Lepisosteus oculatus: one gene and its partners. The protein of the gene in region 2 binds, or shares a complex with, the protein of the main gene of each other region. Links are inferred from orthologs where the notes say so. Each region holds a gene or a part of one and is shown on either strand. Other genes may lie near its edges. The genes, in order: cript, sf3b2, snrpg and small nuclear ribonucleoprotein Sm D3.

Evidence for each region.
Region 1: sf3b2 (region 2) and cript share a complex: the UniProt entries of both Homo sapiens proteins name them as parts of the minor spliceosome. The link is inferred for Lepisosteus oculatus from reciprocal best matches to the Homo sapiens genes SF3B2 and CRIPT.
Region 3: sf3b2 (region 2) and snrpg share a complex: the UniProt entries of both Homo sapiens proteins name them as parts of the minor spliceosome. The link is inferred for Lepisosteus oculatus from reciprocal best matches to the Homo sapiens genes SF3B2 and SNRPG.
Region 4: sf3b2 (region 2) and small nuclear ribonucleoprotein Sm D3 share a complex: the UniProt entries of both Homo sapiens proteins name them as parts of the minor spliceosome. The link is inferred for Lepisosteus oculatus from reciprocal best matches to the Homo sapiens genes SF3B2 and SNRPD3.

Annotation. Positions count from the first base shown.
Region 1 is NC_090712.1:13,353,791-13,361,268, forward strand, and holds cript (cysteine-rich PDZ-binding protein), read right to left. Parts: upstream 3,014-7,478; 5' UTR 2,657-3,013; coding exon 2,641-2,656; intron 2,301-2,640; coding exon 2,235-2,300; intron 1,873-2,234; coding exon 1,818-1,872; intron 1,437-1,817; coding exon 1,333-1,436; intron 1,202-1,332; coding exon 1,137-1,201; 3' UTR 514-1,136; downstream 1-513. Other genes in the region: pigf (phosphatidylinositol-glycan biosynthesis class F protein), read left to right, coding at 4,264-4,491, 4,863-4,954, 5,369-5,485. UniProt on the Homo sapiens protein: As a component of the minor spliceosome, involved in the splicing of U12-type introns in pre-mRNAs. Involved in the cytoskeletal anchoring of DLG4 in excitatory synapses.
Region 2 is NC_090713.1:22,561,975-22,569,763, forward strand, and holds the start of sf3b2 (splicing factor 3B subunit 2), read left to right. Parts: upstream 1-4,771; 5' UTR 4,772-4,942; coding exon 4,943-5,072; intron 5,073-5,951; coding exon 5,952-5,998; intron 5,999-7,512; coding exon 7,513-7,584; intron 7,585-7,677; coding exon 7,678-7,789. Other genes in the region: collagen alpha-1(I) chain-like, read left to right, coding at 1-164, 553-1,098, 1,670-1,839, 2,688-2,931, 3,191-3,286, 4,049-4,086, 4,181-4,296. UniProt on the Homo sapiens protein: Component of the 17S U2 SnRNP complex of the spliceosome, a large ribonucleoprotein complex that removes introns from transcribed pre-mRNAs.
Region 3 is NC_090697.1:65,205,920-65,213,127, forward strand, and holds the start of snrpg (small nuclear ribonucleoprotein G), read left to right. Parts: upstream 1-4,204; 5' UTR 4,205-4,323; coding exon 4,324-4,355; intron 4,356-5,735; coding exon 5,736-5,758; intron 5,759-7,208. Other genes in the region: protein FAM136A, read left to right, coding at 1-3, 787-927, 1,717-1,905. UniProt on the Homo sapiens protein: Plays a role in pre-mRNA splicing as a core component of the spliceosomal U1, U2, U4 and U5 small nuclear ribonucleoproteins (snRNPs), the building blocks of the spliceosome.
Region 4 is NC_090717.1:9,777,547-9,785,368, forward strand, and holds small nuclear ribonucleoprotein Sm D3, read right to left. Parts: upstream 3,007-7,822; 5' UTR 2,861-3,006; intron 1,934-2,860; 5' UTR 1,920-1,933; coding exon 1,794-1,919; intron 1,613-1,793; coding exon 1,420-1,612; intron 919-1,419; coding exon 854-918; 3' UTR 312-853; downstream 1-311. Other genes in the region: protein GUCD1, read left to right, coding at 3,843-3,849, 5,146-5,230, 5,557-5,722, 6,333-6,424, 7,059-7,300, 7,780-7,822. UniProt on the Homo sapiens protein: Plays a role in pre-mRNA splicing as a core component of the spliceosomal U1, U2, U4 and U5 small nuclear ribonucleoproteins (snRNPs), the building blocks of the spliceosome.

The DNA of each region.
Region 1 (7,478 bases), on a different chromosome or scaffold from region 2:
ATTACATTAGGCTTTCCAGTGACTAGAGAGCAGGAAGGGCCACATCATATCACAGTACGTGGGAGCTCTTGCCCTCGCCTGAAGCAGGGACCGGGGTTTGCAACAAATAGCAAAGTTTTAATTTCCATAACATGAAGGGAGTCATAGCTGTATAAGAAGCTTAATATGAGGTAAAGGGGTTTGTAATCAACATGATGTTCTGTTCCACACCCTTAAGTTATTGCGTAGGACTAAAATATGAGGAGCAAGAAGTCAATTCATGGAAATATTGTGTAGGAAAATGTACCTTAAGGGCAAAAAAAGTATTTAAATGTCAACATGTATACCTTTAGCGTGATTCACCAAGGTACACTGACCTTGTCACTATATATTTCCAACTAAAAGTTAAAGCTCTGGAGATGCCAAAGTTTCAGCACGGAAATAGCACCATCTAGAGGCTAGAATGGAAACCCATGTCTGCGTGCAGGAAAGAAAATTCAAATAACAAATCCTGAGAATTTGAAAAAATACAACTTTTAAGTTAAATTATTTTATTTTCCAGATCAACTATCTTCCCTTTAAAAGCTTTTATTACAAACGAGTTTTTATCTTAGTAGCACAACGTAAACTGATAAGTCCTTATACATTAACAGTCTTGTAAGTCAGTAATCACTAAAAAATTACAGAACTACAGATAGCAAAAAATATTTATAGAAACCCAGTTACATTGCAATTGTAACCATTACACTTAACTGTAATAAAACAAAAACGTCAATATGTAATTTGTAATGAATAAAGCATGATCACTATTACAGATATGAAAGGATACCATCCCACCCACTAGAGAGCCGCTGTCATCAACTTGTGTATATTGCTGTTTTACAGGATATATTTAAGTATGGCCTAAAGTAAAGCTAATTTAACATTTGGATTCAAAGAGCAGAAGAGAACTACCTTTGAATATAGAAACAAGGCTTTAAAAAATACACTGCGGAGACAGCTTTGTCTGTAGTGGTTCTTCATGGCTTTGAGCGTCTGTTTTCCATGAGCAAGCCCAGCATGCAAGAACCAGCTCAATGCAGCTCTGTCTCTAGAATAACCAGTGCTGGACCAGTGCAGTCCCCGTAACTCCTTTCATAAACAATTTGATGGATTGACTACACTGAGGTCTGCTTGTAGTTTTTGGTTTCCAAAACCTTCTTGCCACACATTGCACAGATGCCTAGGAAAACAAGAGACTTATTAGAATCCACAGGTTTTCACACTTCCACAACAAACATTTACTAGGATGACTTGCATACCTGCTTCATTCCTAAATTACTACAATGCCCAGATAAGTAGCTGGATTCTTACCTTTTTTGTAGGCACACCCTTGACAATAGTTTGAACCAGGCTGGTGGACTGAGCTTTTACAAATCCTGCAGATCGCAAATCTGGACTTTCCATAGGGGTCAAACCTAAAACAAAAGATAGGAAAACATGATAAAGACACATAAGGTTAGCTTGTATACTACTAAGGTAAATCTACAAATAAACAGCACATATGCCAACAATGAAAGTCTGGATTTAGTAGTTCTGTGCTAAAGACTCAAAGAATCCTGAGCACACAGTTTTATGAGACAAGCTATCTTGATGGTTTCTCCACTGGTGTCAGCAAGACTATTGATATTATTGGCGCACATAATGGTAGCTGCATTTTACCCGGGGTGCTGCACTTCAGCAGTAAATCAAGTGGGTCACCTTCTATATGTGACAAATTTTGGAATGAAAAGCACTATGTACATTTCCATAGAAAATACAAATGTGAACCATTTTTTTTAATGAAAAGATGCACCTACCTTCCTTTTTTAGAAGTAAGCGCCTTGTTTTCATTCAGCTTGCGGCCACCACTTTCTGCAATTGTAAGAAACAAAGGTGGGTTGATTAATGCCCAACCTTTCTAATGTAATGATGTTTTAGGCTACTCCCCATTATTCGTGGAGCACACATCTTGTTCCAGAAGATGCTGAACACTCCATTATCAACTGCAAAAGTGATCTACGTCTTGAAAACCCTTAGAAAGTGACCGAAAACCTAGATCTGGCAGTACTCAGAATGTATCCGAGTTCAAGAAGGGGAACGGACACATCCAGATCCAGAAATTGATCAGTGTTGGAAAAGGATCTCTGTTAACTGCGTATCTGAGTTCAAAGGCTGCACTTCAAATCTCCGTTTCTTATTTGCTTACGTGTAGCGTAGTGCATTAGTTAGGGTACCTGTTGTGTTTCTGGCTCCATCTTTCCATGTATCCGGAGTGATGACACGGCCGAGTTTCTTTTCACCTGCAAATTACAAAGAGTTTCAGCCAGAGATGAACAGCGGAGTCGCCGTCTCTTCGTTTAAGATCACACGACAGGACGTCTGCCAGTAATACCTACAAACGCCTAGTACAAAGGAAACTAAAAGAAATGAAGAAAATAGTATACAATCGCAATTGCCTCACATTAAAAATGAATGGATATACTGGTTATGTGACTATTTTTTCTAGCATTTCCACTGCGGCACAAATTGTAAACAGCGAAGCAACGTCCCAGTGTTGGCGATTATTACGATTATCACGGAGAGATGATCAGTGCGACCTGTATTCAGAGACAACTATAACAAAGTCACGAAACCACTTACACTTCTCACAAACCATCTTTCTCCTCTCTTAAAACGAGAAAAAAAGAAAATCAATCCACCTACAGCGGAGAAAAGGAAAACAAACTATCTGCTCTGCCGGTGCCAGAGCCGTGTGACAACTTCCCGTCTCGTCCTTCCGTTCAGAAAGAGTGCGTACTGTATACTTCAAACTAAATAAATGCACCTCGACTGTAATTAACCCCCTCTTTGCGTCATTCCTGTACCACCGGCTTTACGACGTCCACTGACATGGCAGAAATAAACTACTGAACTCTACATATTATAGTAAACACATAAAATATATGGGTGTTTATGCGTCTCAAAAAGAATTTACTCCTTCCGGCTAGTCTGCCGTAATATTTTGCATTTTCCCAGGGTTTGTGGGTAGTGACCTTAGACTTTATCCCCGCCCACTCGGATGGCGATTGGGAATCGGTATGAAGCAACTGTTTGATTGGGCAAAATGTACGTCAAGCAAAACACGCCGTGACACCCCCCACGTCCTTGTTTACGCTGTACTGACCTTGCGCAGAATATATTTCATACGGAAATCAGGTATGAATGATACTGTTGTGGGCTATTGTCGTGCATTTGTGCACCACGACTAAAAAAATGGAAAAACACCTTTTAGAGGCTACGTGTTCTTGAGAATAATTCAGATTTTTTTCATTCGCTTGATGTATATAGTAGTTTATTATTTTTTTCCAACGTTGAATGATATTATATAGCAACAATCCGTCCATCTAGAGGGTAAGCCATTTCTTAAAATATAATTACGATCCTATTTTCTCTTGTTGATTATTCAGTTTTATAGGCATAATGTCTGCAGTTTCTTACGCAGTGCATAGTTTTTTGCAGTTTTAAGTTTAATTGGAACGGTAGAGATTTGATACTTGATGATTTACCGGGGCTTGGAAGAATGCTAAAGATGAAATATAACTTTTGAAAAGTTGCAGCTCCTGTAGGAGACGCCAGACCTCTACAAAAGGGTTCCCCGTGTATGTTAAGTTTCTGAACACTGTGACGGTTTGAGACAGAAACTTGTAGTCAGGTTTGCCTTGGCCGCCCGTCTTCAGCTACTCTTGGCTGATCACAAATCCCTCAACGGATATAGACGTGGTGTAAAGCAGTTTTATTCTTTTTTACATTAAAATTGATTTTGAAAATGTCCGATCTTTTGTACCAACGACATTTAAATATTTTTACCTTTTCTACGCAGATTTAGATAAACTAAGGTACAAACACTTAGCTAATATACAGAACCTGGTGATTGCTTGTATACAGTAAGAATTCGCAGCTCCGAAAACCCAAGTTGAGTTTGTGTCCTCTGCACTGGAAGTTTTCTTTACGCAGCTGTATTAGAGTTTTAAGGAAATAATAATTTCTGACAAAATTGAGAACACAGATGGAACTGAAATCAGGTGACCACGTGTCTTCTTGAGTACAGATAGCCAACACTATACAGAGGCCTTTGTCAGCTGTTTTTGGATGTTACTATTGAGTGTTGTACCTTAGCAAGCAGTCTTAAACTCCTGATATTCCCCAGACCTGAACTGATTTAAGTATCCTGAAGTTGGTAGTATTGCGTGCTTGTTTTCCAGCCTGGAATCACCTAGGATCACCATGAAGGATATTGAGATCAAGGGAATGATTTCTGCCCATACCATCATGGCAGCTTCTGTCCTGATGGCCACAGTACTGCCCCTTCTGTTTGTGGATGGGTTTTCAGTCTATGGCACACACCTTGTGTGGCTGTATTCTGTCTCTGGAGCTGTGGCTGCTGTTAACATCACTGTCTATTGGCTGCTGGGCATCAGTCCACCATCTAAGAAGAATACTCTGAGTTACAAGGTGAGGTCTGAGGGAGACTTTCTTCTCTTTGCAGAATCAGCCTGCTTTCACAGGTATTGCACAACCCAATACAACTTTTAAATGTTTTCAGTTATCTTTTTAAAGTACCTTTAATTCAGTTAATGCAGTTTAATTTTAAAATGGAAGTAACACTAGAATAACTGGTATATATGAATCTAGAGATTAACTATATGAATAAAAATACTCTGCACTTATAGTTGATATAGGGACTAGAAGCTTTGAGTGGTTTTCTGTATGCTTGTCCATTGAATTGCATTGGTCTCCACATATATCATTTTGTGGTAACCGAGCCAGCAAACACTATAAAGATATAGTGGGTAATTATTAAACCTGTTTGGTCTTATCCATAGGTGTCTAAAGCCTTCAGGTCCTGCCTGTATTTCATATTATCCTGCTTCCTGTTCCACACAGTTGTTGTCCTGTATGGAGCACCTTTGCTGGAGTAAGTACTTAACAACAAGTCACTAGGAATAGTTTGTCCTGTTACTAAAATGCTCTGCCTGTTCATGTTTCACATCAGGACATATGAGTCAAATAGTCAGTGATGTTTTTGAAAGTCTTTCTCTTGTTTCATTGCATCCTGCTGGTGTGACTGAGATTTGTTTAGGAAAAGTAATTGCTGAGGTCTGAAGTGCCCCACCGGATCCCAGCTTGAAACTAATCCAAACCCTTTTAGAGTGTCTTAAATATTGTCTGAGCAGCGGGTGTAATATTCCTGACTGAATTGACACACATTCCTGGACCAAGAGCAGGGTGTTTTACCCACAAATCATAGCACTTTGCATAAGTGAAATAAAGACCTATTTTCTTGCAAGGACAGGGTGTGCCTTGCTAGGATATGTGTTCTCTTTTCCAGGTCTGCGCTTGAAACCTTTTCCTTTGCTGTCCTGCTGTCCACATTCACCACCCTGCGCTGTCTCTGCATCCTGGGGCCTAACGTCCAGGCCTGGATTCGTGTTTTCAGTCGGGATGGGTGCGTCTCTTATTCTGACTTTCGCACCGCCTGTTTCTGCAGGGGAAGTACCGTTTTCCGGAGTATGCAGAAAGCAGTCCCTTTTGTTACTCACAATCAGATAAATCAGTTTGAGAGCTTAGAAGTGGAGGAGCTTATGTGCATAAATAGGCTGAACTTGCATGAGCATGTCAGAATTTCTATGAAGTATTTTTCAGAATAATATTAAGTGTTTTTATATAAGTCATTGGGCTTATATATAGTAAACAGTACAATTTACTGTAACTGTAGGACCTTTAGTGTCCTACCTTCTGTAGAATACAACAAAACCTATCCACAGGGCGAGAAGAGTCCATTTCTTTCTGAGTGTAATGTCACTGGCAGTTTCTTGTTGGTGTGCAGGAGCTAATGAAGGGAGGAATCCTCGTCGTGTTTTCTTTTTACCTTCAGTACTGACGGCTTTGTAACACGAATGACGTATGCACGGTATATATCATTCAGGAAGAGTCCATATAGCCTCTCTGCATGGGACTGCTGGAGTGCTGACATTAATACTTACAGAACATGGCCTACTGTGAAGTGGTGTGCAGATAAGCTTAGTTCCTGGATTGACATATGTGATGAGTACATACTCATTTTAGTATTATAATATAAGACTGTAGTGTGTTTTTCATTTATCTCATCAATGTGAAATAAGAAATTAATATTTTGCAAAAAGTAGTGTGGCTGTGTGTCATTTTTAAATCTACCACTAGGGGGAATTCTAATGCCACGATTGTTTCTTTACCCTAAGTCCATTAACTTGATTATTTTCTTCCTCTAAAACCTGAAGATAACAGTTTCACAGAATTTTCTTAGATGACTTAGCGTAAATGAGAACAATGAAAAACTAGATTGATTGCATAACAGGCAAGACTGGAAAGCAGTGTGGGGTTGTGTTGAAATGCCACTTGTCCTAGTAAGAGGAAATGGTTATCAAGAACCTGTTTGGGATCTTACTGCAAGTGAAGCGCTGGCACTTGTAAATTTGTTTCAGTGGTTTCTGTGGAAAATGGTTTTGGGGAAGGAGAATACAAAATGTCATGACTACCATTTCCCCACTCAGACAAGAGCTTTTTAAGGAATAGTTCTGCATTATTTAAGGCAATGGTTTTCTGAGAGGATGGTATATCATATAGTTCAGTAAGGTTGGTTTGAGATGAAAGGCACAATACACAATACACAATATTGTAGTTTAGGATTTTGTTTAATTTTCTGTATCCTTATCTTTTTTTAAAACTTTTTATTTTTTCTGCATTTTTTCAAAAGGGGCTTAAGACTAAGGAAACATCATTAAAATGTATTAATTTGAACTTAGGCTTTAGGTGCTCCAAATCTTAAAAGCTGAAGTTTAAAAATCAATAGAGCTACTTATCAAGCTGCTGACGGCAGTGTGGTATTTTTTGTCCGGTTAGGCCTAGCTGCCAGTCAGAGCTACTTAAACTGATTCTTTAGCTAGAATGGAGAGAAGCAGAGATGTACTGATTGGCTGATTGAGTACTTCAAAGTGAAGCACCGCTGCTTGACTTTAATTTCTCCTTGTTGTGAGGTTTCAGGGAAAGCTGCAGCAGGCAGTAGAGAAGAGGTCCGTCTTCACTCCTCTTTCCTGGATTTACCGCATTTCTACTCTGCTCAAAACATATTTTGATGCTATTTAACATTTATTTTCTCAGCACAGATCAGCTTTGAAGCACAATTTTCTTACTACTCCAAAATTTCACTTTTACATAAGTATGTGAATAATTACTCTCACCCGCCGAGAGCTTCTGTAAAGGGCGGGTTGGATGACTCCAGCTGAAGTGGTGTGAACAGTTAAGAACGTGTTGAGGGGAAGCTGGGGCAGCTCTGGCCCAGTGTGTTGCCTGCTGTTTACCGCACTTTCTGGAAAGGGTTCTAGTTGTCCTTGACTTTGCAGTTTCCTCCCTCTCATCCCAGATGGCTGTGGTCACCTGACAGATCTGGTTCACAGTCTCCT
Region 2 (7,789 bases):
GATGCCCCGGAGACCGGCCCCGCCCTCGACGATGCCCCGGAGACCAGCCCCCCCCTCAGCGACGCAGGGAGCAGGGACGCGGACAGGGCCCCCGCCGCGAGGAGGAGGAGGAGGAGGAGGAATCCGCGGAGACAGGGCCAGGAGGAGCGATCTTCCTCCCGGGAGTAAGTAACCCTCTGTGATCTGTTTGCTGCGGGAAAAGGAAATATCTGGGACTGCGGTCCTCACTCCCTGCTCCCAGAAAGTCCCCGGCCTGCTGCTTTTACAGGGATAAAGACTGGAGCCCATGTGACTCTCCAGGACAGGGAGTGATCTGGGATAATGGCACAGAGCTACACGGGAATATAGTGGGGTCAGCACAGGGGGTCACACTGCACTGGGGTGTCCAGCGGGGTCAGGGCTGGGGGTCACACTGCACTGGGGTGTCCAGCGGGGTCAGTGCTGGGGGTCACACTGCACTGGGGTGTCCAGCGGGGTCAGGGCTGGGGGTCACACGGCACTGAGGTGTCCAGTGGGGTCAGTGCTGGGGATGACCTCTCTTCATGGTTTTAGGGACCTTGGACAGCCCCGAGACGGTGCGCTCACAGACTCCAGTGCAGAATGCAGGAGCCACGAGAGGCCCCGGGTTCGAGGCACCCCAGGCAGGGCCAGGCCGTCAGAGACGAGCACCAGTGAGCACGCTTCTGAGACCGAGAGCGGAGCGCCGCCCCCTGCTGGAGACACAGGGGAACTGCAGCCGCCGGACGCCGGGGCTGGGGGGCGGGCGGGGGCACAGACGGAGGGGAGCGACCCAGGCGAGAGCGAGGCGGGGTCAGAGGTCAGCGGCGGGGCGGGGAGCCCGAGCCATCCCGGGAGAGGGGGGGAGATGGGGGGCGTCACCAGCGAGCGAGAGGGGGCGTCCGCAGAGGAGGGGTCCAACGGCAGCCCGAGTGAAGCAGAGACCCCGGACCGCCAGGAGGGGGGCCGCACGGACACAGGGGCGCCAGACGAGCAGGAAGATCCGGAGAGCGACGGAGAGGAAGAGGAGGAGGAAGAGGAGCGAGACAGCGAGGGGACAGACTCCGAAGACGGAATCGTCAGCTCCCCGCTGGGCGTCAGGTGCGAGCTCGGCCCGGACCACCCCGGGTTGCCCATTTCCCACTTTCCTCCCTACTATCTGTCAGAGGCAGCTAGCGCCCCCATCTGGTTCAGCACCGCCAGTGGCCCAGTGCCTCCTCCGCTCCCAGTCCACTCCGTGCCAGGTTTTCCCAGGAGTCGGCTCCCTGGTGTTGTTGGTGAATTGATTAATCCAACCATCCGTTTACCAATCGCTTTCCACACACGCACACACACCCACCAGGGCCAGTCCATCACAGGGCACGCACACACACACACACAAAAGGGCCAGTTTCCCAAAAGAAGCCAATTCACCTCCCAGCATGTCTGTAGACTGTGGCAGGAAACTGGAGCACCTGGAGGAAACCCACTGAAGCCCAGAGAGAACATGCAAGCTCAACACAGCTCCAGAATCGAACCCAGGGCCGCCCTCATTCATAAATCAATTACACAATTAAGACCCTGAGCCACGGCCCCTGTACTGTGGGGCATCCGGGTTTCGCGATCCCCTGCCCGTGTCCAGCTGTTGACCTTTCGGTGGGTCGATGTTGTGTTTTTCCTGAGAGGCGTGCAGGTCAAGCAGCAGGGATATGACCTGGGAAGATCCTGCTGGGCCAGGGGCAGAGAGCTCCTGCCCCCGGCCGGATCCACAGCTCACCTGGGCTCTTCTCCACCACAGCAGGGCGGCGCCAGAGAGCAGCGAGGGCCGCCGGGAGACGGGCGCGGACGCCGGCGGCCTGACGGGTGGGTCCCTCACGGCCACGGATTGATGAGATTGATGCGATTGATGAGATTGATGACTTGATTGATTGATGACTGATGATTGATGATTGATGACCGAAGATTGATGATTGATGACATGATCTACCGATGCCGTCTGGAAGTGTGAGGGTGCAGGTGCACTGAAAATGTTAACAATCTAAAACAACCTTTAATGCCACCTGTTTTTAAAGATCGACCTCGCGGTGAACAATTAAACCCCTGATTGGTCAAATTAACCAATTTAGGGATTATTGAGGACTGAGGACCTACGTCCTCTTCAGTCCTCAAGGACTGCGGTTCTCTTAATGGAATAAACCACTGGCTTGGCCATCAGGAGCTGACAGGCGTGTCCAAACTCTAGAAACAGGGGGACCTGTAGGACACACTGGGCTGGGGCTCCCCAGGAACAGGGCTGGAGACCCCTGATTCAGGGGGACCTGTAGGACACACTGGGCTGGGGCTCCCCAGGAATAGGGCTGGAGACCCCTGATTCAGGGGGACCTGTAGGACACACTGGGCTGGGGCTCCCCAGGACCAGGGCTGGAGACCCCTGATTTAAAAAAAAACAAGAATATTCACCACCAATGAGAAACCCTTTGGATCTTGTCCAGCTGTTTCTTCGACGACATGGCTGGGTAGCACTGTGTGTAACGTAGTCACTCCTGTTGTGATCCCAGGATCTCTGCTTCCTGTAAGAAGCCCGGGCATCGTCTTCAACACAAGACACAGGAGGAGGGGGAGAGGGCGGGCTGGGCCGTCCTGCTAGGTCTCTCCTTAGCAAAATAGCGTCCTTGCACTGAGCTGGTTGCTCTGTTTGTCACCCGACCCAGGGTCTGTGGTCAACTCCGAGGGCATCGCGGGTCAGCAGGGGAGCTCCGAGGAGGAGGAGGAAGAGGAGGAGGAGGAGGAGGAGGTGGGTGGGGGCGCCTCCAACGACATCAAGAGCAAAGGGGACGACGACGACGACGACGACGACAATGATGATGATGATGATGATGATGATGAAGATGACAGCGATGAGATCGAAGCTCTCCTGGCTCCGCAGGAAGATCCCAAAACGTCTTCTGGTCAGACGTGAGTGTCCTTCCAGCGACAGTCCACCTCCACGTCCACCAGCCTCTCGCTTCCACTGGCACTGGTGTGTCAAGTGTGTGTTAAAAGCGATGTTAGAATGAGGATTTACGTGCAGAATTCAGTTCCAGAGATCCTTCTGTGTGGAGTCTGTATGCCCCCCCCCCTCCCTGATCGTTCCCGCCAGCGCCCGCCTCAGTATCCGGGCGAATGAGCTCATCGAGGCAGCTCAGAGTCACTGACAGGGGCTTTCTCCTGGCAGAGCCGAGGAAGAGGAGGAGAGCCGCTCCGGGAGGAAGGAGGGGTGCCCGCCGCCTGTCCCTGCCGCAGAGGAGCGCCCCGGGGGCACGCCGGACAGGTGCGCGTGCGCTGGGGCTGGGGGTCTGACCGCACAGGAACGCCCTCTCCCGATCGAATCCGTCTGAAAGGCCACGGGCCATTTCAAGAGGTGTCTGCAGTCTGGGGAGGGGGGCCCCGCCAGCCCTGGTTTTGGGGAGACAGGTGTCTTGTGTCTCTCTCACAGATGGGGGTGCTGTAGCTCACAGTAACGGGGAGCTGCCAGGTCCCACCAGCACCAGGGAATGAGAGGCAAGTGAACACCTGTTCACCACCATCCACATGTACCATGTTTTACCCTGATCTCACTGGGCTCTACTGCGCTGTACTGTGTTTTTACCCCTATCTCACCGGGCTCTACTGCGCTGTACTGCGTTTTTACCCTGATCTCACTGGGCTCCACTGCGCTGTACAGTGCTTTTACCCTGATCTCACTGGGCTCCACTGCGCTGTACTGTGCTTTTACCCTGATCTCACTGGGCTCTACTGCGCTGTACTGTGCTTTTACCCTGGTCTCACTGGGCTCTACTGCGCTGTACTGTGCTTTTACCCTGATCTCACTGGGCTCTACTGCGCTGTACTGTGCTTTTACCCTGGTCTCACTGGGCTCTACTGCGCTGTACTGTGCTTTTACCCTGATCTCACTGGGCTCTACTGCGCTGTACTGTGCTTTTACCCTGGTCTCACTGGGCTCTACTGCGCTGTACAGAGGACCACAGTGAAGTTCCTGAAGTCAGTCAGTAGAATGATCTCTAAGGGATGTTTCTTTCTCTTGCACTTTCAGGGTGAATCACAGCGGCACTCTCACTGCCCAGGGCAAAGGTCAGTTCTGCTCAGTGGTAGCTTGCTCTTCCCCCCGAATGAGCCCTAGCTGTCCGCCCTGGCTGGTCAGTGACCGTGTGTCCGTCTCCTGCAGCGCTCCGGAGGGGCTCCGCGGACAGCAGCGATCCGGGAACCGAGGCTCCCGGTACCCCGAAGCCCGGCTCCGCGCCCCCGGAAGTGCCCGACGAGTTTGACGATTTTTTCGACTGAGAGAGAGGTGGAGAACACTGCCGCAGCACCCCGAAACGGGTCGGTCCTGGTCCTGGGGAGGCCGCCAGGAGCAGATGGTCCAGGACAGGACCGGACCAGACAGACCCTGCGGGGGCTCTGGAATGAGGAAGGGTCAAGCTGTTCAGAATAAACATCTGTCCACAAAAACTGCTTCAGTCAGATCCTTCGTTAGTTAATCAGCAAGATGGATGTATAGAACTGCGGTTGGGTGTTTCTGTGCATTGATGCTGTGTGTCAGTGTGTGAGGCCGTGCTGTGTGCGCGTCAGCATGTCTATGTGTCAGTGTGCGTGTATGTGTGTCAGCGTGTGTGCGACAGCGTGTCGCCGGGTGTTAAAAGATGCTTGTGACAGTCCCATTCTTCATCAGTGTGTCCGTGTGCTAAAAGATTATAACATATTTATCAGTATTACAAATCTCTAGGTTTTTTTGGGGGGTCGCTTTCATGTAGGTAGAAGAACTGCATTTGATCTGTTCGGAAAGTGACTCGGTTTTGTGGCCGCCTGCTAGAACTACAAATCCCACAAAGCCGCAGGACCGCCGTTTCCGGTCGCAGTTCCCATGATCCTCTGAGAGCGCTCGTTTGGTTTCCGTTCCTGCCTCGCTTGTTGTTTCTGTGATCCAGCCATGGCGACTGATGTACCGCCCGGCACCGAGCAAGCTCCGCCGGACCTCGGCAGCTCCGTTGCTGCCCTGAACACATGGAGCGTCCAGGAGCTTCAAGCCAAGCTAGCTGAGATTGGCGCCCCCACAATGGGTAAGTGTAAAGCGCGGGCTCCGTGGAGGGAGGGAAAAGGCCGAGGCCTTGCGCCGAAGCCTCGGGCTCGAGTGGTCAGTCCACCCGAGCAGGCCGGCCCCAGTGGCGGTGGGCGGGCGTCTGGGGAACCCGGCGTTCAGGTTGCTCGGTTCATTTCTGTGGCGTACCCTGTATCTTGTACAGAACCGCCAGAAACACCTCATTTCATTCAGGTTTGGCGCCGCGGAGTCTCCCGGTGAGCCTTTAGTTCATGAAAGGGGGCTGTGATATAAGATTGCTTTTAAAGAAATTGCTTTCGTTAGTTGCTTTAAACACCGGAGGCTTAACAGACCATCCGTTGATCATCTCTGTAGCTATTTATATATATTTTACGAGTCCTGCAGTTTCCCAGCTCAGCTGCAGAGCCAAGTGAACCCCAGACCTCGGCCCTGCAGTTTCCCAGCTCAGGTGAACCCCAGACCTCAGCCCTGCAGTTTCCCAGCTCAGGTGAACCCCAGACCTCAGCCCTGCAGTTTCCCAGCTCAGGTGAACCCCAGACCTCAGTCCTGCAGTTTCCCAGCTCAGGTGAACCCCAGACCTCAGTCCTGCAGTTTCCCGGCTCAGGTGAACCCCAGACCTCAGTCCTGCAGTTTCCCGGCTCAGGTGAACCCCAGACCTCAGCCCTGCAGTTACCCGGCTCAGCCCCAGAGCCAGTAGAAACCCAGGTCTCAGTGCATTACATACTCTATCAGAATTTAGGATTTGTTACTTAGACAGAACCAGTACACTCTCTCAGTCAGCCTGGCGGAATTGGGGGTACTTGTGGTTATCTTGTGCTGTGGCTGGGTCTTTGCTCAGTGACAGTTCTGAAGTCTGGACTGATGTTGTCTCTGTCCTCAGGCCCCAGAGAGGAGATGATTGACAGACTGAAGGCCTATGCGATGCAGGTGAGTATGTTCTGTCAGAAGTGATTGATACAGTGACCTGTCTCTCTCTCTCAGTTCAATTCAAGATGCTTTGTTGGCATGACCAATGAATACATCCGTGCTGCCAAAGCAAATACAATTAACATAAAATCTATGGATGTTTTCAGGAATTTCACAATACAGACCCATCTAAATAGTTACATGCAAACATCTGGAGCATTACTGGAAGACAGGCTAACTGTTCCTCAGGCTGGGACAGGAGGTCACACACTGTATTATTATTGAGAGACAGGCTCACTGTCTGTTCCTCGGGCTGGGACAGGAGATCACACACTGTATTATTATTATTATTGAGAGACAGGCTCACTGTCTGTTCCTCAGGCTGGGACAGATCACACACTGTATTATTATTATTATTGAGAGACAGGCTCACTGTCTGTTCCTCAGGCTGGGACAGGAGATCACACACTGTAGTATTATTATTATTATTATTATTATTATTATTATTATTATTGAGAGACAGGCTCACTGTTCCTCAGGCTGGGACAGGAGATCACATACTGGGCTACCAGTTCAACTGAGTTCCCTCCTCCCTCTCCCAGTAGGATTGGAAGCTATTGTGATTCTGGTAGGTGTAGGAACTCTGGGATTAGATTTGTAAATTTCTGGAAGAATGTTTCTCTAATCCCGGAGTATCTGTCACAGTGCAGTAGGAAGTGCACCTCTGTCGGTGTGGCTTGGGTCAGGGAGCCTCAGGACCAGCTGGCTCAGGGGGCTCTGTTTTGGGCTCAGCTCTTGGCTCAGCCGGGGTTTGTGGTGGTAGGAGTTTTGATTGGTGTTTTTTAGGTGTAGTCAATACTTTAATACTCTTTACTGTATGTTTATCAATAGTGGGTACTGTCTTAATTCGGCCCTGCACCCGTTGTTAGGTTTCTACAGATCTCCATGTGCAGAGTTTTTGTGGGGTGTTTGTCCCATTGAGTGTACTCCTGGTCTGTGAGGGGACCCCACACTTCACTGCTGTATAGGGCAGTGGGTTGGATTACACTTTGAAATATTTGGAGCCAGATTCTTGTTGGTGGGTTGGTGTTGAAGAGCCTCCTTCTTATTGCGTAGAAAGCCCTGAGTGCCTTCTCCCTCAGTGCCTTCACTGCCAGGTCAAAACTCCCGGAAGAGCTGATAGTCAGACCGAGGTGTGTGTAGCTGGATGTGTGCTTCAGTGTGTTGTTGTTGAGTGAGAAGTGGTTCTTGTTTCCCTGAGGCCTGGCTTTCTTGTGAAAAACCATGACTCTGGTCTTGTCCAGATTGACTGTTAGTGCCCAGGTCTGACAGTCCTGCTCCAGCAGTGCCAGGCTCTGCTGTTCTGGGTCTAGATGGGCTGGCAGTGCCCAGGTCTGACAGTCCTGCTCCAGCAGTGCCAGGCTCTGCTGTTCTGGGTCCAGATGGGCTGGCAGTGCCCAGGTCTGACAGTCCTGCTCCAGCAGCGCCAGGCTCTGCTGCAGCCCCTCCCCCTGACGTTGTGTCTGCCGTTCCAGACGGGGATGATGCTGACCAAGCCCACGCTGCAGGCCGGTGACGGAGATGTGGTGGCCCCCCTGCCGGCCCAGGTGAGTGTGCCCAGGGTGCGGGAGGGACCCAAGCAGGGAATTTTTAAGCGACTCCCCGATAATAATGTTGCCCTTTCTGCCCCCCCCCCACAGATGCCCGGCCTGCCCATGCCCCCCATGCCTCTCCCCCTGCCCCCTCCCCCTCCCCCGGGGATGTTCCCGGCCCTGGGGATGATGGGGGTGCCCCCGCCCCCTGGCCTGCGCA
Region 3 (7,208 bases), on a different chromosome or scaffold from region 2:
CAAGTGAGTGTCTGGTTGACGGGACGCGGGACACAGTACTGGTGTCTGCATTTCCCCGTAAAGAATACGCGACCCTCGTTGCATAACATTTTGATACATTTGGGGGTTTCGCAGCTTCGTGCCCTGATTGACAAGATGGTGTTTTTTATACAGGCATGTTAATTCTGGTCTGCTTCTGCTTCAAGCGATTTCACAGAAGGTTGCAGACGTGAAATTCGCAGGGCCAGATGGTGTTAGTGAAGGGTTCGTGTGAGGGCGATTAAAAACTCTGTGATGGGAACTGGAGGGAAACGGTTTATTTCTGAACAGTCACATTTACACCTGCTGCCCGATCTCTCCTTTTTTTTCCCTAGTCACGTTATCCCGTAACCCATCCGAACGCACAGAAAGTTATATTAACGCAAACCTGTCTGCGAAATGAAATGGAGAATTCCTTTTAACTCAAAAATACTTTTGACTGCGTAACTGAATAAAACAACAATCACAGGACCTAAGCTTTGACTGACAGGATTGATACAGGATTCTACCGCTGGTAACAGCTGGAATTGTTCAACCTGTAGTACCACGGGAGTGTCTGCGTTTCCTGACTGAGACTACCTGTAAAACTGTGTTTATTACTGTGGGAGGCTTAGGAGTGTCTCATTCGACTTCATTCGGATGCGGTGTGAAGTGTGGGGTGCTGTCACGGTAAACGGGGGCTCGGAGAAAGATCCTCCGTTGTCCGTTTCTCTCGTGGGCTTCATGTGGTGTTTGATGCCCCGCGTTCTGGCTGCCTGTCCTCCCCAGGGGCTCATGTTCCAGTGCAGCGCGCGGTGCTGCGAGCGCGCCAGCGACTCCATGACCCAGGTGCACCAGTGCATCGAGCGCTGCCACGCCCCCCTGGCCCAGGCGCAGAGCCTGGTCACCACCGAGCTGGAGAGGTTCCAGGTGAGACTTTCCCAGGAGGCAACGTGGGTGTGGAGGTCGCTCAGCGCTGCCCCCTACAGCCCGGGCTTGACCGCACAGCCTGGAGTTTTTAATATATAGGGAACTGAGAGACAGAACTCTTTAATGGAGCACCGCACATGACTGAAACTTGCATTGATCTCTAATCATATAATAATGTCATGAAGTCTGCAGAAGGTAGAGCAATGCAGAAAAGAGCACTGAGGAGTCCAGCTTTGTCACAGTGCAACAGACTGTAATAAGCTTTGCAAAAACAAAGGCTTTCATTGCATTATGTAGTATTTGCTAATGTTAAACAGAATAATAATTCAACTTTATTTGTCATTCTACTTACACGGGTGCATAGTATGGTGAAAAGTGTTTCTCATGAGTCTCTCAGGTGCAGTATATAAATAGAACAGCAGACAAGACAAGAGACAGAAATACAATAACAGTGTAAACAACAGTATGGTGCCATTGCAAAATTGTCAAAAACTGTGCAAATACGCAGAGAAAAGTATACAAACAGGACAAAAACAGTGCAAAAGTAAAACGGTGAACAGTGCAAAAATAATACGGTTATTAATAGTACAACTTGTACAGTTTTAAGTACAATTCCAGTTTACATTCAGTTGTCGTGTGTGTAGTGGTGTAGGAGTACTGTCATTGTGGGTACAGGAAGTAGTGAGGAGAGGTCACATTTTTCTGAGTGTAATTTCAGGTGTTGCAAACCCCTTCCTGCTCTGAGCTGTCCTGCTGAAAGCTGCTCTGTCTCTCTCTGTCCCGCCTCAGGACCGGCTGGCCCGCTGCACCATGCACTGCAACGACAAGGCCAAGGACGCGTTCGAGTCGGGCGCGAAGGAGGCGGCGGTGCGCGGGCAGCTGGAGCGCTGCGTGGGCGGCTGTGTGGACGAGCACCTGAGCCTGCTGCCCAGCGTGACGCGCCGGCTGAAGGACAGCCTGGCCTCCATCAAGCAGTGAGGACGGGGGCGCTGGGAGCCGGCCCGGGGGCCATCTGGGCCTGCAGCCGACAGCGAGGCCAGCAGGCACGGAGTGGGGACACGGACTGGCCGGCGGCGCGGGCCTTCGGCACAGACAGAGGGCGCGGACCGCCCGGCGGACTGACCCCTGTCCTCCCGAGGACAGGTGGAGTGGGACACCCTGGCTGTGTCAGACCGTGAAGACAAGCGGATGAAACTTGGGACTCCCCGTGCATAGCAGTTTGATCCAGTCCGGGTTTTACCACCTGCCGTCTCTAGTAAACATAGAAAATGAAATCTAGACAGTTTTCATTTTCTCGTATATTCATGTCTGTCTATGTTTTGCAGACTGGAATTAAAGTAGAAAGGAGAGAAGGAGTATGGTAAAACTTGAAATGGATCTTATTGGTACCTCTGTGTTCTTCGTTTGTCAGGAGAAAACCATGAGCAGCTGTGAACCACTAGAGCCAAGTTTCTGCACAACTCTCTACCTCCTCCTGCAGGGGGTGCAATTGTGGCTTCAGTTTTACACACTGTGGAATTTGCTGCTGACAGCACTGTTTCCCTTTTTGTATTGCAACAAATCAAAATCGGGAATAAAATCAGTTTTCTCTGTATTCTCTTAAAAAGAGAGACGGTGTGTCTGTCTTCAGGCTTGGATTGTGCCTGTTTGTCTGTATTTGGGAGGGTGTGACCAGAACCGTGTGGCTGCTGAGTGAAGATTATTATTTCCACCCTCACAGTCTCTCTGAACACAAGTCACTGCAATTTGAGCCCTATGAGCTGAGCTCAGAGCTATTGGCATGGTGGGGTCGAGACCAGAAAGCCAGTGTCACATGAGTGTGTTCGATGCATGTTAGCATTAAAAGTATATAATCCCTTTGAGTGTCCATAAGGAATGAGTAGTGGATAGTTCCACTTTTAACAGTAACAAAAAGTAATGTTTCATCTGTGGATCCTTCTTCAGCTGTGTGTCTAGATATGTAACTAGTTGTTTAATAACTGTAACCCTAGAGGAATGTGTGGAATTTCTCTATGCAGAGTGTTAAATTCATATAATTTCTAGAACAACCCCATCGGAGAGGGTCAAGTGAGAAGCTTGCTGATAAGGGTTCAGTGTTCTACTTGTGTTTATTAAAGCCCCACCACACCACTGGATTTAGTTGTCTGCATTTAAGGGGAGGTCACTAAATGAAGTTGAGATCCATTCACTGCTAGATGGTTGAGCTGTTTACCACCAGCACCTTCACAGAGATCCCTTGTCCAAGCCCAGAGAATGGCCAATCTCCGCTGGCCAGCGAGGAATGAAGACGCGTATGAGTGCTGGTTTGTGTTGGTATGCTGCAGTGTGAAATTCAGATCTTCCATGCAGTGCTGTAATTACTTATTTAACAACTACCTTCATTAACAAGTTCTATACATACCAAAATATTAGCAATTAATCTACTTTGCATAAAACATTATGCACAATAATTGACAGAGCCTAGTTAATGTGAGGTTTGAAAGGTCTTTAGAAGGTGTCATAGTTATTATGGAATCCCACATACAGTATGTGCTTTCAGACACATCCTTGTCTGTGACCTCTGACCTCTTCTAAAGTTCATATGCCAAACTGGTATATCTCCTGAAAGAGTGAAGTTTTCACAAAATGTCCTTGCCCATGCCCTTTGACCCTTCCTAAAGATCTGATGTACAAACATTCATTCTTGGTTAATATATTTAGAATTATGGGCAGCATATAAACATCCTTCTTTGTTCTGCCAAAAAATTGCTAGCCAGTAACTTCTACTCTCTTTATTTTCATTATGCTTTCTGGTTTTCCAATCTCTATGAAATCAATAATCAATCACTTCTATTGAGCTTTCAGTGAGAGTGTGCTATCTGGAGAACTCTGTTACATCCGCACCTAGATTTGCTACCTCTTGCTACAGTTTGCCCTAACTGGACCACCGGTTAAGCTACAGCGCGGCACTTGCTGTCTTTAGGAAAGCTCTTTTTAAATAATATGATTTTTATAGCAGTATTGCCTGCCCAATTATTCATTAGGCTTGTTGCCTGTTCGGCATGAACAGGTATTTATCGGTCAAGAAAATCTTTACAATCAATGCACCCATCGTGTTCTTGCTCGTTTGCAGGATAGTATTTCCAGTTTCAGGAGAGAATGCGCGTGAACTTGGGTTGCCGAGAGGAGGCGCAAATGGAAAGGGAATATTCAATTAAACGGCGTTGGAGTAGTGGCAGTGTTCGGGCGATTGTTGATGACGCATAATGTGAGCCGGAAGGTATGGTCGGACTTTTTTTATGGTAACGCGTTCGTCCTTTGTGGTGCAGCGTGCGTGGAGTTTGGCGGTGAAGTCGCTGAGAGCGCAGTGGTCTTGTTATTGAACGGATATAAAACTATAGCTTTCTACACGTAAACATGAGCAAAGCACACCCCCCCGAGTTGAAGAAGTAAGTATTTCTTGTTTTAGTCTCGTAGGGTCATTTGTGTCTTTCGTTTTTATCACGGTAGTTGTTGGATCTTGGGGGGGGTTGTACTTGGCTGAGATACAAACTTGAAATGTTTCGCCATTAAAACTAGATAAAATATTCTGAAGGGCTCCTGTAGTTCCGTGATATTTGGATCTGTTTCCAACCGTGGAGACGACGTTAATATTTCTCATAAAGAATTGTTAATACGTTTCCGACCTCGCTTCGTGAACCGAGTGCAAACGTTATCGTAACGTTTGGCTTCGAAAATAGTGTCCACACAGCGTTATACATCACAGCTTTCGGTACTGTGTATTTTCTAAAGCGTTTGTAACGTGAGATTAGATTGTTTACCCCGTAATATTAAAAATGCCGCGTTAACGATCCTGATAGGTCGTGAATGTATAAGCTTGTATACTTTTGCTTTAGAAAGATCGACCTGTGACGAAAGCTACCTCTGCAAACCACGATTATGCGCACCGAGAAAGTCCCACGAAAACTGATTGACTTGCGCGAGACTCGTAGAAAGTAACTCTAAAATAATAATAATAATGTAATGGGTTTAATTGGTTTTAAGGTTTTAAAACGTAATATTAAACAAGCTACAATTGTCAGTTGCAGAAATCATGGACGGACTTCCGGTTTTGCACCTTTAGTACTCTATGGTGGTAGATGAAAACTCGCGCCAAGCTGTAGATTGCAGGAGAGCGTGGAAAAGCCTGTTTACATTTTCATTGCATAGGTTGGGGACGCTATATAGGTCACTGAATAACAGATGTATAGCAGCTAGCTAAACGTGATCTTTTTTAAATATTATTGAGCCTCTTAAGATCGCCTTTAAGGTTCATTGCTTTGCTTAATCCAAAACAGAATCTGGAAGCGATGCCTTTAAAGGTTTGTGGAGGTTTAAGCGATAATGCTTTGTTAAATACAGGCAAACACGTCCAGTAGTGTTGTTTCTTGGGAGGGAAAATATTTAAAACAATACAGCTTGAGAAGTGTACAATTAAACCATTATTTGTGACATTACTTTCAGAATGTATGACCAACAATCACATACACATGAGCAAATGCTAAATTCCACAGAATATCAGTTACTTTTACTTACGGATGCTCCCAAACGTTATAAATACGGTCAGAGTAGGGAATGATAGCAGGTCAGTCTATATTAAACAAGTCTTGAAAATATGTCAATAATGTTAGCTTATGTTTCCTGCATAAGCTAACATTTTTCACATGTTGGTTTACATGATAAATCCAGCATGTTTTCTATAACATGCCACAGGTCGAATGATGTACAGACTTTGTAGAACATTTTTTTTTGTATTGAATCTAACAACTTTTTTTTTCCTTTTTGTCCAGGTTCATGGACAAGAAGTTGTCATGTGAGTATGTAGGGTTTCAGTTGCTGAACTGAGGTGTTTGGACCCCTCCCAGGAGAAACTTGATATGGTCTGATGAACTGTCCCTCACCATGTTCTCGACTGACAAGTGCATGTGTGATGCCATTGTAAAAGATTACAGCCATCAGTCCTCAGTTCCAATAGTGAATTGATCCATTACCCAGGTGTTAGTTGTATGACTTTCACATGGAAGGGTGGTGCTTCAGTCCTCCTGCAGAGTTCTGGGCAGTGCCAGTGACTCTATGCTATGCATACAGGCTGCACATGGTCACTATTAGTGACTTTAAATTGTTCCCATTTTTATTATCCACATCTTACATTTTATGATGACCCAAAACTGCACTAAGGTGAGATAGGAAGGACTTTTTCCAGTAAAAGCTCTGACTATTAACTAACAACAGTGAAACATCTAGCATGCAGAGAGGGCTAATGAAAAGCTAAGGGTTGCAAAGATGAGTACCAGTGATAGATTGAGAAAAATGGTTAAAAACATCCTCTCCTAAGATGTTTTTGCATGCACTGCTAATATCACCATCGTCCATGATGGGGATTACAGATGTGCACAAGTATAGACCTAGAGGAAAATGTGTCCTTTGCTGCCATAATGTTTCACATCCAAAAATTATCTTGGAATTTATGAAAGCTAAAACCATTTAAATTAAACCATATGCTTTAATATTTATAAAAGAACTAATCATCATTCTTGAAATATATACAAAAAAATTGTGTTTTTTGTTAACAGCAGGTATTTTTATTTTAAATAGGTATGTATAAATCAGTGGCTCTTCACCACTTAAAGACCTCTTCAATTGAGATTCAGCAGGCTGCATTAACATTGATTAAGCCAGTAACTAGTTCTATTAAACCAGGAGTCCAGGGGTGCTGGTGTCTTTGAGGGTTTTCAGTCTGCCTGGGCTCTTAGTGATCCTAAATGGCTCATTAATGGTTGAATTGGAGCAATTATACAGCTGTTGCAACCAGTTTTTGGTGGTGCTTTAAAAAGACCTGTAATACCAGCAGACACCCCTCAGGATCAGGACCTCCTATTAAACGTTTACAGTCCAAGTCAGATTGAAAACCCATAGTTCTCCAGGACTGAGATTGGATAGCCCCGTGTTAAACATGTAAAATAGGGGTGTCGAACTCCATTCCTGGAGGGCTTAGTCTCTTCTGGTTTCTGTTCCAATCTGAATAGTCAATTAAACAAGTTCATTATTTTCCTGGACATTCCTAAGAATTTTCTAACTGCCTTTTAGTATTGTTCACTCGTACCTTTCACAAAGGTAGGGTTACGTTCGAATGACCTCAGAGGCTGGTTAGAGGTGTTTCCACCCTGCAGTTTAATATTGGAGGATTCAGACAGCTGTGGGTGGAAGAACACGAACCAGAAGACACTGGCCCTGCAGGGGGCGAGTTGACTCCCCTGATCTAA
Region 4 (7,822 bases), on a different chromosome or scaffold from region 2:
TCTAATGTATTGGATTTCTATAACATTTCACCTCAACACACTCTGCATATTTGAATGTGCACTTCACCCACTGCCAAAGAGCAGCACCCACCTGAGAGAAGTGGTAGATGTGCACCAACAGCTCCTCTACAGAGCAGATCAGGTGGGGGAGTCAGAAATGGCTTCAGCTGAATTAAGAGGGAGCTTCAGAGACACTAGAGTGGAAGATGTGTAAGCTGCCAGATTTAGATTACACAAAACTGAAACACCAGCAGATCACTGGGAACAAAGTATGAAACCTGAAGAGTAAAAAAAAAGGCACAGCTGCACTCATGTTCAACATAAGTTTTTTATTTAACGGCCAAAGATATGAATTACTATTAAAACAAAACCAGACTATGTTGTCCACTAGACATTATTTTATCAATGCATCAATTCTGGAGAAGCTCATAAGGTGAATTATGTTTTTGAAACAAGACTGAATGGAAACCCGACATTTCTTACAATACAAACTTCATTATAAGTCAGTACAAAAGTGACAGAAGTTGAAAATCATCTTTAGACCAAACCTAAAGGCTGTTATGAGGATCAATATGTTGAATTACATAAACAGCTGCCCCTTTCATGTAGATTCGACTGCAGTAAATCAAATGTTAAAGACAGTACTGACTGAATATTGATTTGTTAAAATGTGAAAGTAAAGGAGCTGCACAAACACTGGACATTATACCTATTTTTATTGAGCACCTAAAAAACTTGCCAGAAAAAAAAAATCAAAAATGATTTGCCTTTTAACAGACAACATCGTGAATGATCACCCAACCTTTTAAAAAAACTGTACAGTAAGAAAAGGCCATGAAGTGCACATTGAGGGTTATCGTCTCTTCTGGAAAATATTTCCTCTTCCCATTCCCCCGCGGCCTCTTCCTCTCGCAGCCACTTAAAAAGAAAAAAGTGGACACAATATACAGTACGTGTTAATCACCCTATAATTGCAAACAAGCTGCACTAACTGGCAATGCCGATCAACAGATTACCAACAATACTGCTGCTCTGGAATAAGTTCCATCGTTCAAGAAATGACAGGCCCCTCAGATCAGTAACTTATTAGCAGCCACGTGACCTGATACGAATGTCTTACTTCTAATGAAGGCCTTAACCCATGCACCTAAACCTAAGGAGTTTTAACCCAGGTCATTACGTAGGTGTAGAACCAAGTAACGATGCACACGTCAGCAGGTGGTGATCGAAGAGCACTTTCTAGCTGGCGTTACTTTATTTCAAGACAGTCATCAGTACGATGGACGCTAAGGAATAAATTTAATAAAAACCAATAACTTTGATATTTCTGTAGGGTTCTGCTGATCACGCTGAAGTCCTCTACAGAAACACACCACCTGGAGAACTGTCCTCTGAATTGGAGTCTGGTGAACAACATACCTTGAGCTTTGAGAATGGCAGCCTTCCCTCTTCCAGCTCCAGAGCCCTGGTTTTTGTTCTTCATACTCTTCAACATGGGGGCGTTTTTCAACATGTCCGGCAGGATTAGAAATCTTATCTTGCTGCCCCGGATATAGACCTGTTCCAACTGCGCCACACGTCCATCTCTGTATGTCACAGTGATATTAGACATCTGGAAGACAAAAAAAAGCAGCTTTAAATTCACTTGCATGTGCACAACTCTGCATGAGATTAATTCAAAGAATCCATCAAAAGCACATAATGTGTGAAATTATATGGGGTCACTGGCCTAAAAGGTTTGCTTGGTTTTGTGACCCCTGGCATTTCTCATCTCAACCACTTATCAGGCTTACCTGGCAGTTCATATTGTCCTCTGCTTCTATAAGCTTTCCTCTGTACACTTCGCCCGTGTTGGTTTCACAGGTGACGATGTGACCCTCGGCCTCATGCAGAACTTTGATAGGCACTCCGATGGACATTTTAACTGGGACCTCTAAACAAACACCATGACAGGGAGGCAAATAATTCCAGGTGAGCAATATTAGGCTAGAACACACAAAAACCATGCTTCTGGATACCTTGGAAAAAGCCAGCATCTCTACCCCATGCCCGATAAATTAGATTCTGTCCTGCAGCTCAGTTTGTACACAAGTTAAGGTTACACATCACACGTTTTTGTAAATGCCTGTTATTAGGTAACAAGATTAAAATGCATTCAGTAACGAGTATTAGATTTTGAATTTAGACAATTGTAAAGGGTTTGTATGGACCAAGCAGGCCATTAGCTGTTCACAAAGGAATCAAAACCTGGATACTGGATGCATTTACTCATAGGTACGCATGTTTAGTTCGAGTCTAAAGAGCAATCTGATTTAACCTGGTATATACTATCAGTGATCAAGATGGACCCCAGAGCAAAATTCACTAGTACTTTTAACTTTTTTGACAGTTTGTTAGCATACATTTTACAAAATAGATGTGATAATGTGCACTTCACAAGATTAAAAAAAAAATTAGGCAACTCTTTTTATAGATAATAGACCAGTGCGTTAAGCAACATTCACTAAAACAATCTTCGAAGCAGATATTCTGCACTTTCGAAACATATTCTTCAAAGCAGTAAATGAGAACAAACGGTCTCTACTTCGACACGGCCTTTGTGTTATGGCAAAGCCCAAAGAGACTTGGGTAGCTTTAGCTATGGGAAAAAAAAAACCCATCTCATTAGCAAAAAAAAGTTTTTGTTTTGCATCTGGGAGAAAATACTTCAGGAGAAGGTATATTTGTTTTCTAACGTAAAGTATTTCCACGCCATTCAAATCAAGTTCATTTCCTACCTTCAACGAACTCATAATCTTGATTCCCTTCGTTAAAAGAAAGGTAATATCTTACAACTTGTAATGAAACATAAAATTCTTACCTGTTCACAGCAAATATTGAATTCCTTCTCTTATTTAACCGTTTCCCGGTTTTAATCGTGAACGGCAGCGTGTTTAAAACCTGACCGCCTCGGAGTACGATTTTGTTCGTTTCCAATACCCCACAATGCAACGCGTTAAAGGAAGTCACAAAGTGCTTCCGGTTCGATTTGGGTTTTTCCGTCGTTATGATGAATGTTGGGATTTGTAGTTTAACCAACATAACGTCTTCTAAAATTTCTCAAGAATGAAAATAAGTATAACGGGCTTTCTTTTTACTAAATACCACACAAGGAGGAAACATGTTCTGTTGCTCCAACTTTTTTTTACTGTGCTACGAAAAACATTTGTAAAGATATACAGTAACTCTCATCAATGTATAAGTTCTTATTATTTCATTAAACCTTCTTCTTCGTCACTTGCTGGGTTTATTCCAAACCCCTTCTTTTTCTGAAAAGGAAAGAAAAACAAGTTGAAGATGCACTTGATTTTGTGACGTTTAAGAATGGCTCTAAGCAGCTACCCAACAAAACTAAAATAAAAAAAGAAATAGCCAGTTGTAAGTTGCTCCCCAATAATTTGTGATCGCCCCGAATATCTCACCATCTACTGTCACGAGTAGTACACTGGAGTACAATATATTATAAGAACAGCCTATTTATTCTAGTTCTCGTCCCTCCTTGACTGTGTTTAGAGGGCGCTGTAGGCGCAGCGGTTTTCAAATGAGCGTCTGTGGAAGTCCTCGTTTTGCAAGAGGAAATTGCGTACGGCGGAGATGCAGGCAGAGGTGCCCAGCAGATCAGCACTGTAGTGCCGGAGAGAGGCGGCCCGGACCGGGGTCGTAACTGTGGCTCCTAATGTTCATGTCCGGCGAACAGACCCAGCGCCGTGGTGCTGAGACGGTTTCCTCTCTGAAAATCGCCAGATCGTGCGCAGAAAGTGAAAAGGACTTAACAGCATTATATAAAAAACAAGCAGCACAGAATGACAGGTAAGATGGAGCGTTAGCGTAGTACTCCGTGTCGACGAACTGGATGATTTGGGATGGTCCCGCTTTGTTTTTGTTTTAAATCAGCCCTTGTTGGAAATTAACATATTCAACGATTTCGAGGCTCCAGGAAAGGTCCCGTCGTGCTGTCGAGGTGTTGCGGGCCCTGTTACCACAGGTGTTAAGTGTTTTAATGTACACGACTGTTTCTCGTCAGGCATCTGAAAATAAATTAAGAGGAGCAGTGGTGTGACTGGTTTCAGAAGTTCGCTTTGCGGCTGAGCACAGATGTCCTTCAACCTGCTATGCACTTCTTGTCCTGCGTGTAAAACAAGTTAAAACACTACACGAACCACTATCGAATTAACTGTAAATAAACCCTGGGTCGTACAGTAGCGTGGTAGGTACATTTATTCACCGGTCACGTAAATGGAGTTAACATCCGTGACTGAGCCCTCTATCCCGATTGACACAGCTCCGTACAGCGTGTTTACAGTTTAGTTCAGTGATAAGAGTAGCTCATATCCGTGTTTTTTTCTCCAGCCGTGTATTTTATCGCAGGTAGTTGATTTCAGTTCTGTTTTCGGTGCGCATTTGGAAATGTGCTTTCAGCTCTTAAAATACCAAATGGGATTCGTAATTGGTATCAAGCACGTACCGACTTCTGAGTGTCGTGCGTGTGTGCTGCCTGAGAAGTACTCACTGTACCTTCCTGCAGAAGAAAAATAAAACTGCCTATTCTGGGAATGTCTGATAAACTCTCACTCCCACCTGTGTCTGTTCATTATCAACCAGTGATTAGTTAGACGGCAATTTGAGAACAGACTGCATACAGGTTTGTGTGCTGTAGTTGTTGGAAACAGTACCCTTACAGTAGGGTATGTGTGGCATTCAAGACAAAGAAACAAGATAAATAAATTGCTAAAAAAGCATGCAGATCTGTTAAGTCAGATAGAGATATGGAGATATAGAGCTCAGTTGGAAGGAAAAAAAAAGCAGTGTTTCTCCTGTACCAGGGTTAGGAATCACTGGATTAGACAGTTTCTAATTTGAAATCATTGACGATCCCTAATTATATATGTATTACTGCATAAAAGGAAACAATTGACCATATTGCTTGTTTGGCAGTTTAGTTGCTACAGTAGGTGCATTTAACATTTCCTCCATCCAATTTCTTACCACTTTGTCCAATATAGGGTTGCATGTTTTCAGTGTTTATTTTATCGCTATGTTTTTATGTAACACACCAGAAGTGTAATATCTGAGTATATTCACGTCAAGGCCCTTTTATTTGTTTAGATGGTGTTGTTCAACTGAAAGTACCTGCCATTCGGCAGCTCTATCACTGGGACTGTGGGCTGGCTTGTTCCAGAATGGTTTTGAAGTAAGTAAGACAGTGAAAAACATTTTGTAGACTACATTCAGAATGGACTGGAACTTTAGTAGCATTTACAACATAAAATGTGGTGATGAAAATGATTATTGTTCTTAATTTATGATGATTGTTTTTTTTTATGTTGCCTAACTGGAAATCTAGCTCATCGCATAGCTAGAGTCGTGGCTCTTAGTGCGAATGTGTGGCATGCAGCTGTAGTTTTGTGAACTAACAATGCAGTTTTAAAAGCTTGCAATGGGTCAAACTGCTATTGGAACATAAGGAAGTGGTTGCAGCAGTGCTGTGTTTTATTGCCCCCTGACGTTACTGTGTAGGTACCTCCACCCAGTGAGTGAGGAGGAGTTTCAGAATGCCTGCTGGGAGCTCAAGCTGACCGAAAGTGTATGGACTATTGACCTGGCCTACCTCATGAGCCACCTGGGAGTCAGACATCAGTTCTGCACCCAGACCCTTGGGGTAGATAAGGGCTACAGAAACCAGGTACTGGCCAACTCTGCACTTTCCTGACAGTCCGACTGGTGTGAACTATAGGGCTAAAGACCTCTATAGGTTGGAATATTTCGTGCTAAGGTAACTCGGTTAGGTAGTGGATCCAGTTTACCTGTAGGCACTCTGGCCAAATAGCTCAACTGGTTCATTTACTGTGCAGTGGGCCATTAGGTGTTGTCACAAATGTTTATTGTGCTTTAATAAGAATTTAATACACTTATATAGATGTTTTCATTACAAAAGGATATCAAAGTTCTTTATATATATATAGGAGGGGACTGACGTCTCTGCTACGGAAGTGTAGCCCCCACCTGAGAGACACACTGCAGCCATTCTAAGCCAGCAGCCCCAGGTGGAGCAGGCGAGAAGTGACATTTTTTTGCCAGTTGAATTAAGAGAGTAGTTTTATACGGCCAGATTATTCATGCCCAAAGTAGTATTTTGGTAGGACAGATGGATAACCACCTCTATTCCTTTGGAAAGTTCCATGAGTTCTTTAATTTTATGGTCCTTTTCCTTGACACACCTGCGAAAAGTGAACAGTCATGTAATACTTAACCTTACATGTAAGTAATTGACTAGCTTCCCTCTGATTCCCCAGTCGTTTTACAAAAAGCATTTTGACACCGAAGAGGACAGAGTGAATGAGCTCTTTAACAAGGCAGAGAGCAATGGGGTGGTGGTGAAGAAACGGTAGGTATTTTATCATTTTGTGTCCTTTTGCTTTCCTTTTTTTACATCTGCTGTGTTCTTGCTTTCAGCAGGAAAATAGAATTTTCATTTGTCTACTTAGCATCTCCAAGACACCTGCAAATGTCAGAGAAACAATGACATTTACAACATGCACTCTTCTGTCTGCTTGTGCCACCTGCTTCCAACTTGTTTTGGTGTTTTTTCTTTTAATGGCCATTCCCTAATAGAACTTTAACCACAGTCTTATGAATAAAACTACAAGCCTGAAAATGACTTCTACGTTAAACTCTGTTAATGTTAATGTTAGACATGGTAAACGTCCGGATAGTGAGTGCTGATGTTCTTCTCACATTTCACCTTATTCTGAAGTGGGATTAAAGCAAGAAAACTGTATGTTCCCCTGGTCCTGCAGGTTCTCTGAGATTAACAAAGGCGAACGTCTGAATACAGTGGAAATTTGGACTAATTCAAGCCATAAGAGATTAGGTGAAGGTGTTAAGAGAGCATGTGGAATGAATTGTAGAAGAGCTTCCCAAGATTTAGAGTACATATGTCCGGTTTAAAGAAAATATCAATGCTTTTATTTTTTTTAGTTGATTTAGCCTGTAACAGGAGTGATTTTGATCTTCTACAGCTCTGTGACGATGCAGGACATCCAGAATCACTTGGCTCAAGGGCACGTGGCGATAGTGCTGGTGAATGCTGTGCTCCTGGTCTGTGACCTCTGCTCCACCCCTGTCAAGTATTGCTGCTTCCTTCCTGTGGGCCAGAAGTGCTTCTGCAGGAAGCCTGACTACCAGGGGCACTTTGTGGTGGTGTGTGGCTTCAACCTTGCCACCAACTCTGTCTTCTACAACAACCCAGCTTACTCAGACAGTGAGTTCCCCTTGAAGTGATTCCTTTGGGAAGATGGAAAAAGAGTGCCACAGTAAGGAACAACTGTGGGGGAAAAAAAGTTGTTCCGATGTGTCATGGTCTTCATTGAATTGCCGTTTTGAATGACAAGACCTTTGTCTTTCCTGTGTTTCTTAGAAGTAGTACAGAACTTTTATAAATCCAATCCTCTCTAAAATTTCTGAGTATGAACACATACTCTGCTTTGATGCCAGAGTGGGATACTTATGGAAGATAACATTTAAAAATTCATTTCCTGTGATCTTAAAGAAGATTTGATTTGATTAGTGGTAAGAACTGGAATATGAAATAGTTCCATTATAGCAGAGCAAAAGAAATGTCTTTCTGAAAGATCATGGTTTTGAAGGACTGCAGGAATGTATTCCATGCATTCTGAAACACAGACTGCATCCAAGGAAATTTGCTTTCAGTGACAAAAAAATTCCTTGTGTATTTTGCAGGAGTGTGTTATACCAGCGTAAGTAACTTTGAGGAGGCACGAAA